2 linked regions of the Ovis aries genome follow. The protein of the gene in region 1 purifies or fractionates together with the protein of each later gene. This does not show direct contact. Links are inferred from orthologs where the notes say so. Each region holds a gene or a part of one and is shown in the gene's direction. Other genes may lie near its edges.

Region 1 (3,813 bases):
TAATTTGGGAGTGGGAGGGTACTCTGGATGATGTAGAGAAAAGGAAGGAAAATTATATGGGTGCGTGACCCTCACTCTTTCTTCCCCGGTACCTGGTCCCTCTCGTGCCCTCAATGCAGTGCTCATCAGGGTGGGGTGGACCGACCGGGGTGTCGCGACGGTGGGAGGAGGTGGGCGAGAGTGGGGCGTGCTCTGGCCGGTTGGCCGCCTACCTCAGCCACAGCCCCAGCGCACCGGGCCTTGTGAGGACTTCTCGACAGGCTGGCTTATGAAGCGTGTGCGTATTTGCTCTTACAGTTACGCACGTATTCAAACTGTTTTTTAGGGGATCTGCTCCAGGTCTGTTATTCCTGGGGCCGGCCATCACCACAGCAGGAGTGTTTCCTTTGTACTTCTTTACGACTTAGAAGTCATCTTCTTCTGAAAGAGGTTTTTAAGATATTAATCTTTGAAAATATGCTTTTGTGATTCTCCATAGAGCTTTGTTTCAGTACCTAGTAATCTTGTCATTTTGCTGATGGTTTGAGCCGAGCCCTTGGCCACAGTGACTGAACTGCACGCTTTTTATTGGCCACGCTTCATTTCAGGGATTTTTGAGATGAATTTTTTTAGGGGTGTCTCATCTTCTTTTTCCTTCTTATTACTTCATGGAAAAAAGCCATTTAAAAGTCTTTCTGATTTTATTTATTTGTATGCATGCCAAATTTCTTAGGGAATGTTGTTTGAATTCTGTTTTGAATCATGTAAATACTCAATGTGGTAACTGAGGAGAAGCATGCAGTGCAGGCTCTCTGACTATAGGAACATCCCTCATACAGACGTTCGTTTTTGGGTTGTCATGATGATTGTAGACATGATGGAAAATAATATTACTAACTTGATACTAGAAAGTAGAGGAATTTATCTAGGAAATGTTTTAATGAGGTGACTAAAAACAGTTTTTGTCTACCTACTATACAGCATGTCTGTTAAACTGATAAATAAGCCAGTTGTCTTTGTTTGTTTTATGTAAGGTAAAATGTTAAATTTATAATTTTACTTTAAAAGTGAATTTACTCCATGTATACAGTTTTACTTTTAAAGTAAATTTATATCACAAATGCAATGTATTTGTAAGACTTAAAGTTGAATATAGTTTGCTTTAACTGCAATAAGTATACTTTTAAGTAGTGGTAATCTGGTCATAGGCGATTAATCTGACAATTCGATTATTAGAAAAGTCTTGAGAATGTGAAGTTGGTTAGCTGTTTGCTCTTTCCCGCAGTGGTTTGGTAACCTGGTGACAATGCAGTGGTGGAATGATCTGTGGCTGAATGAAGGCTTTGCTACATTCATGGAGTATTTCTCTTTGGAAAAAATATTCGGAGAGCTCTCCAGTGTAAGTACGCTGTTTGTTAGGCCTCCTGTGAATGCCAGGAAGAAAAATAGTCCAATCATACTGGACATGTATTTTCCATGCATTTGGAGCAATGAAAATATTTCTAGAAAAATACAATAAAACTGACTTGTTACTGATCTCTATACCTCTTGAGATTTGACAGTGAAAATTGTGCTTTTAGTTACTGATGGATTTCAGAAAGCAGAAATAATGTGAAATTATTTTATACTTTGTCATTAAGATGAACATTTCAAATTGCTTTGCTAAATTCTGTGTTTAATAGATGTGGCCCTTCTGCTTTAAGGAATTTAGATAGAGTTGGAAAGCATTTTTTTTTATTTGCAAAACAAAACTTTTTATACTCCTTATAGAGAAGAAATGAAGACATTTTGTGGCAATGCTATTATCACTGTGATCATTCTTACAACAGTGATACACAGCGAGACAAATAATTTGCTCTTTTTAGGTCCAAACCATATTTTGTGCCCGTTTCAAAGCCGTGGAACCCCATTCTGTTACAGAGAGCATGATGATGTTGTTACTGTGTTCTTAGACTCTCCGGAGATGTTTCTTCTCCTTAGAGAGATTTGGACATACTAAGTCCTATATGGGGGGAGGGCATGGCAACCCACTCCAGAATTCTTGCCTGGAGAATCCCCATGGACAGAGGAGCCTGGCGGGCTACAATCCATGGGGTTGCAATGAGTCAGACACGACTGAGCGACTAAGCACGCAGCATAGGTCATACATGACAGATATTGTGGAATAATTCAAGCAGTAAATGGAAAAGTATAAGAATCCGTTTCTACTATAGAATTCTGTGACTTTCTATTAAGCTTCTTGACTGTATGATCCAAAAGTGCTTCAAAAGATGAGTACTCTCAGAGCTTTCAGTTTGAAATTTTTGTGTAGGGCCTATTCAAAGATTTCAAATGGTAAAATGAAGTCAGTTTAAGCTTGAATATTAATAAGCAAAGTAATGTAAATCTGGGTATGGGTCTTAATTAAACAAAGAGATATACAGTTTCACCACTTGGTGGTGCCCAGAATGTTTAAAAGCTTTTAGTATATATTCTAGAGGAACTGGTCTGTTGAACTCTCAGACTCCTTTCTGTTTAAGACTTATATTTTACTTAAGAATAGCCTCAGTCAAGGGAAATGTATATTATCTCAATAGAAAAGCTGGATTATGTATGAGAAATCAACTTAAGGAGCAGTTCCTTTTTTTTTTTAATTTAAGATTTTATTTTACAAATATTCACTAGCCATTTCTAAATAATCATTTGAACAACTGGATTTAGCATATGGTCGCTTTAGTAATAAACTCTTAATGTATCCTTGTGTTGTTGTTTAGGGAACACTGATTTTTGTGGAAGTTGTAATTTTATTTTCAAATTTAACAAATATGCATAAATGTCACATTCTTCCTATATCTTCAACAGATTATTTCTAAAGTTTAGTGAAGCTAGTTGATTTTTTTTATAATGACCTTAAACAGTAATTAGTCTAATTCCTATCAATAATTACTAAACTTGCCTCTGTCTTTAATACTGTTCACAGTTTCTTTATTCTGTTTCATTTTTTGTAGTATGAAGATTTCTTAGATGCTCGATTTAAAACAATGAGAAAAGATGCGTTGAATTCATCCCATCCAATATCATCATCATCTGTTCAGTCTTCAGAACAGATTGAGGAAATGTTTGATTCTCTTTCCTACTTTAAGGTATTGCCATGCACAAAAAGTACCTGGAGTGGGTTACAAATTAATTTCATATGAAAGCAAGCTGACTGATTTAGATTGTTTTAAAGACTAGACAAGTATTATTTTCAATTTTCCTGTTAATTTTTAAGATGTTTGCTTCTACTTAAATCTTGATCTTAACTTGATCTAGGTTCTTCTTTCTTTCTCTGTCTCTTAAGTTCTCTAACTAGTATTCTGGCTAGTTAACCAGATCTTACAGTAATAGATCTTTTAAAGTTGGATAACTGTCCAGATCTACAGGTGGAATATGTCCAGGGGAGGCTCTAAGCCTTTGGCTGTGTCATTCAGGACTGAAGTGTGTTCCAAAGTCAGAATTGCCAAAACAGGTAGACAAAAGGAGATTTTTACGAATCAAAGACTCTATTGTAGAATTAGAAACCTAGACTGCAGGTTTGGAAGTAAAGCAAAAACAGAAATTGAAAGTCCTGATTAGGATCACCTAAGTCAGAGAAGAGGGGAGGGGGATATCACATTTGTGTAGGGAAGGAGGGCTGAATGTTATAGCTTACTTGCCTCCTTAGTCTGGCTACCAGATTAAGATCAATAAATTGAATTCCCATCCTGAACAAAGACAAAGATATACAAAGCATATGGGTTACAGTTCATGTCATCAAGAAATGCGGAGTTTAGGTAGGGAGTACTTGTGAAGCAGTAAGAAAGAATGTGTGCTAAG
Region 2 (4,465 bases), about 93 Mb from region 1:
GGACTGATGCTGAAGCTGAAACTCCAATACTTTGGCCATCTGATGCGAAGAACTGACTCACTTGAAAAGACTCTGATATTGGAAAAGATTGAAGGCGGGAGAAGGGGATGACAGAGGATGAGATGGTTGGATGGCATCACTGACTCAATGGACATGATTTTGAGCAAGCTCAGGGAGTTGGTGATGGACAGGGAAGCCTGGTGTGCTGCAGTCCATGGCGTCGCAGAGTCGGACAGGATTGAGCAAGTGAACTGAAAAAACTGGGGGTGTGTGTGTGTGTGTGTGTGTGTGTGTGTGTGTGTGTGTGTGTGTCTGCGCGCACGCACGCTTGCTAAGTTGCTTCAGATCTGTCCAACTCTGTGCAATGGAGTGTAGCCTGCCAGGCTACTCTGTCCATGGGATTCTGCAGGCAAGGATACTGAAGTGAGTTGCCATGCCTTCCTCCAGCCGATCTACTGGACCCAGGGATGAAACCAGGCCTCTTAGTCTCCTGCACTGGCAGGCTGGTTCTTTACTGCTGTCATGACCTGGGAAGCCAATGGTAGTTGCTACATTTACCAAATACAGTTTTTTTTCACCCTACCATTCAGCCTTTGGGTATCCAAACAAATGGACGACAGAAACCAGGACACATAAAGGTCTAAAAAAACCCACAGACCATTTCAATTTTCTGAGGTTCTCAGCATATTCAAAACTGAAAATATGCTCAAAGTGAATTACAAAACTTGCGGTGTGTTTGAAATCTTTCCATCGCACCATCTTTTTCTCTCAATATTGTCAGTGTGTCTCTGTGCCCTTTCTGTATAATTTTACTGAGGAAAACATCACAAATTGAAAACTGAAATAAACCTGCAGCGTAGTACTGCGGACTGTATTTGAGCTTGGGTAACAAGGTGGCCTCAGGCTGCTGGGCCTAGAGCAATGACACTGCAGGAACCGCGGCGCCTGCTTACACAGCGCAGTGCAGTCGACTTTAGGCCGGAGCGAGGGAGCCGTTGGCGCTGGGCACTCGCTGCATCGGGGGCAAGGCCCTTCCCGATGGTTCACCAGACTTCCCATCCCTCCTTGCCAGCTGACATCTGACCTCCAACGAAGGGAACGGAGTGCCAGACTCCGAGGCCCGGGTCTAGGCACAGAAGGTGTGCGAACCACAGACACAGAGCGAGATGCAACTCTTGGAAGCGCGCCCACTAAGGAACCAGCGCAACCGCGCGCGGGAACTCCTGAAGGGCTGGTCCCGCCACAGGGCGCGCGCGCCCGGGAGTATTCCTTTCCGCCCCAGCCCGCCCCCTTCCGTACCGCCCAACCAACGGCCACTTCCTGCCTCACTCCCAGCCAATCCCCACGCTCCACGAAGAATAGCCCTAGGGGGCGTAAGGGAAAGTCCTCAGAGCGATGGTCGCACTGACCAATTGAATTCAGAAGCTGGCGCGGGGGCGCTGGCCTTGGCGCTAGCTGTAGCTACTCAGGAGCGAGGGGCGGGCGCAGGGCCGGGCTTCGTGCTCTGGGGCTAGCTCGCGCGGCGGCAGCGGGAGTCAAGGCCTCTTGGTGCTGCGGCACGTGACGGTCGTGCGGCTTCAGCTGCTGCGCTGCCTCGGCGGCTGTGTTCTCTGCGGCGCGGGGCCGGTTGTGCGGGTGGGAGCAGGCGAGGGCGCCACCGGCCGTCCCGCTGAGGCTCGAGGTGAGACGGGAGGCCTGCTTGTGTTCGGGCCTGCGAGGACTCTTGGGGGCCTGGATGCGCGGCGCCGCCACCGGGGGCCTGGAGAGCCGGGCGTGGCCGGGGCCGTGGGGTCCGGCTGGGTTTCGAAAGCTCAGGCCCAGTCTGGCGCTCCGGCCGTGTGGTGTGAGGCCGGGACCTGGGCCGCTTGAGTCAGGGAGCCAGGCCCAGGCCGCGCCACCGGGGTCGGGAGGCGTGGCAGGTGCCTTAGAACCTCCTTTGACCTCTGAGAAAGCTAACTTCTCCTTCTGGCTTTGCTTCTAGGGCTTTCTTAAGCCTATTGCTGGCTACCTGTGAAGCTGGGAAGTGCCCGGAGTAACTGGGTAAAGGTCTGGAATAGGATCGGGCCTAGTCGATGTCCCTTGTAGTGGGGAAGAGTTGATAGTGGGCCGAGAGAGAATATTTAGCATTAGAGGTTCAGTATTTGAAAGTTAAAATCACAGAGTGAAGAGTGGAGTATGGAGAATGTGCTAGAACACGCAGGGGCTGGAAAACTTAGGCCCTGACATTTAATTATATCTCTTCATGGATGAGGAGAAAGTAATCTCGTTTGTAAATTCACAAAGACTGGCAGGAAAGCACCCGAAAGCTCTCTGGGCAAGTCATTTTATAGTGGAGGAAACTTGAGGCCCAGAGCTCTGAAATGATTGGCTCAAGGTCATGGGCTTAATTTTATGATCACGTTGGAGTTTTAGTTGAGGCAGTTTTGATGGTTAAGGCTAAGGCCCTGGTTCAGGTCGTTAATCTGTCGTTTGTTGCTATATGAACTTAGGCAGTTTACTTCTCTGTACCCTACTTCTCTCCAAATAATGGATATAAAATCTGATGGTGGTGGGGTTAGAACTAAAGTGAAGTGAAGTCACTCAGTCGTGTCCGACTCTTTGCGACCCCGGGGACTGTAGCCTGCTCAGGCTCCTCTGTTCATGGGATTCTCCAGGCAAGAATACTGGAGTGAGTTGCCATTTCCTTCTCCAGGGGATCTTCCCAACCCAGGGATTGAACCTGAGTCTCCTGCATTGCAGGCAGACGCTTTATCCTCTGAGCCACTAAACTGTGTATAAAAAAGGACAGGAGAGACTTTGACTACTTGATAGATGATTTAAATAAATTAAGGCCTGAGTGATGTTGGTCCCCTACATCAACATCCTCCTTTTTGAGTTGGTTAAGTTCTGGGACCTGAAGTCACCTTAATGGATACAGGAGGAAGAAACTGGACTTAGTGGATTAACTGCTGGGTATGACACAAGTGAATGCTGGCTGGAGGAAGTTAAACTGAGCTGAATATTAAAAGCTTGGGGGGACAAAGGTGAGCCACAGTTAGGTTTCTTTACCTCTGAGTTAGGAAATGGAACACTTTGCTTAGTTTTTTAAATAAGAATTAGTGGGCGGGAGGATTTGTTTTGTTTCGGGTTTTTTTTAAAAGGGAGGAACTGTATTGATCTTTAAGATCATTCTGTATGTCAGTCTTTTAACAGCCATGTTTAAGTGCCATGAATAGAATCACTGCGGAGTTGTCCATTTGCTGTAGTAAGAGCAGAGGTAGAGAATTGTGTGGGAGTTCTGTGCAGCACCCCAAGCAAACAAGTCAGGGAACTGGATTATGAGATGGCCAGAATGAACGGTGTACTGGAGTAAATGTGCGGCGCAGCAAGCGCATTTCCTGACCTGTCTGATAATGAGTGTCAGTATCTCCCTACCTGACTATCTTAACTCAACAGTTTCAACTAGCACATTATCTTCCAAGGACCTTGAGGGGTAAACGTTTTGACAGAGGTTGTTGCTGCAGTTTTGGCAATCATGCTCTTGCATCCTTTCAGTTACAGAGTTCACTTTGCCCTGAGAGATAGCTTAAGGGGATGAAGTGAGAGTTGGTAAGCAGAAATGCAGGCTGGAGCCTGAATTCCAGGCCCAGCGAGGTAACTAGCATAATGAACAACATTAGTTTCCATATCTTTAAAACGCAGTGCCCAGGATACCTTACCATTAGGGATCTTTTAGGAGAGACAGATAAGATGGTGAACAGGAAACTGCTTTGAATGGAGTAATGAACTATGCAAGTAGAAGAATTGGCAGCTCATAACAACTCCTAGGAAATAATAACAGTGCCTGCACATAGTTACAACCTGTACAGCTCACTGTAGAACTTTGTCAGAGTGCTTTGTTAACTATAACAGTAGAACTTTGTCAGAAAAGTGCAGGCTGAGTGCTTTGTTAACTATAACAGATGATTTTTAAATTAAGCTTAACTGTGAAAATTATTTGGAGAATTTAATTTTTTTAAGTAACTTAGAATCTTCAGTAATGTTTTGGGAATCCACGTTTTAAATCCACTTAGTTTATACAAAAAAGGAAAGTGCTATGGGAAGATACATTTTAATGTTCCTGTCAATGAAAAGCAAAATTCAGAACTGAACTAGGCAGTGTACATCTATTTTTTTAGTGGATGAGCATTTACAGTAAGGACCCCTTTGAGTTTTCTGTACTTCCCTCCCACTATTAAGTGCTTTGATGTTGTGGCTAGATGTAATCCAGAGGAATGAAAAGTAGTAGTAAAATGGTTATCTGTGACTGGAGTCAAATTCTTTTGAAGTGGTTCCTTTTCAGTCTAAGACTTCGTTTCTTTTTTTTTTTTTTCCAAGTTTCTTATCGCTGTTAAAACTCAGCGTTTTAGGACCATCAAAGCTTAAATGGTGTCGCTGGGCAATATCTAGTAATAGTAGAAATCACTGATAATGTTGCACATTACTG

The links.
Region 2: the proteins of LNPEP (region 1) and CANX purify together in Homo sapiens (affinity purification with mass spectrometry; 3 studies listed by BioGRID and IntAct, with this or other methods). This does not show direct contact. The link is inferred for Ovis aries from reciprocal best matches to the Homo sapiens genes LNPEP and CANX.

The regions. Positions count from the first base shown.
Region 1 is NC_056058.1:94,053,843-94,057,655, forward strand, and holds part of LNPEP (leucyl-cystinyl aminopeptidase), read left to right. Parts: intron 1-1,264; coding exon 1,265-1,378; intron 1,379-2,966; coding exon 2,967-3,101; intron 3,102-3,813. UniProt on the Homo sapiens protein: Release of an N-terminal amino acid, cleaves before cysteine, leucine as well as other amino acids. Degrades peptide hormones such as oxytocin, vasopressin and angiotensin III, and plays a role in maintaining homeostasis during pregnancy.
Region 2 is NC_056058.1:1,408,420-1,412,884, reverse strand, and holds the start of CANX (calnexin), read left to right. Parts: upstream 1-1,499; 5' UTR 1,500-1,681; intron 1,682-4,465. UniProt on the Homo sapiens protein: Calcium-binding protein that interacts with newly synthesized monoglucosylated glycoproteins in the endoplasmic reticulum. It may act in assisting protein assembly and/or in the retention within the ER of unassembled protein subunits.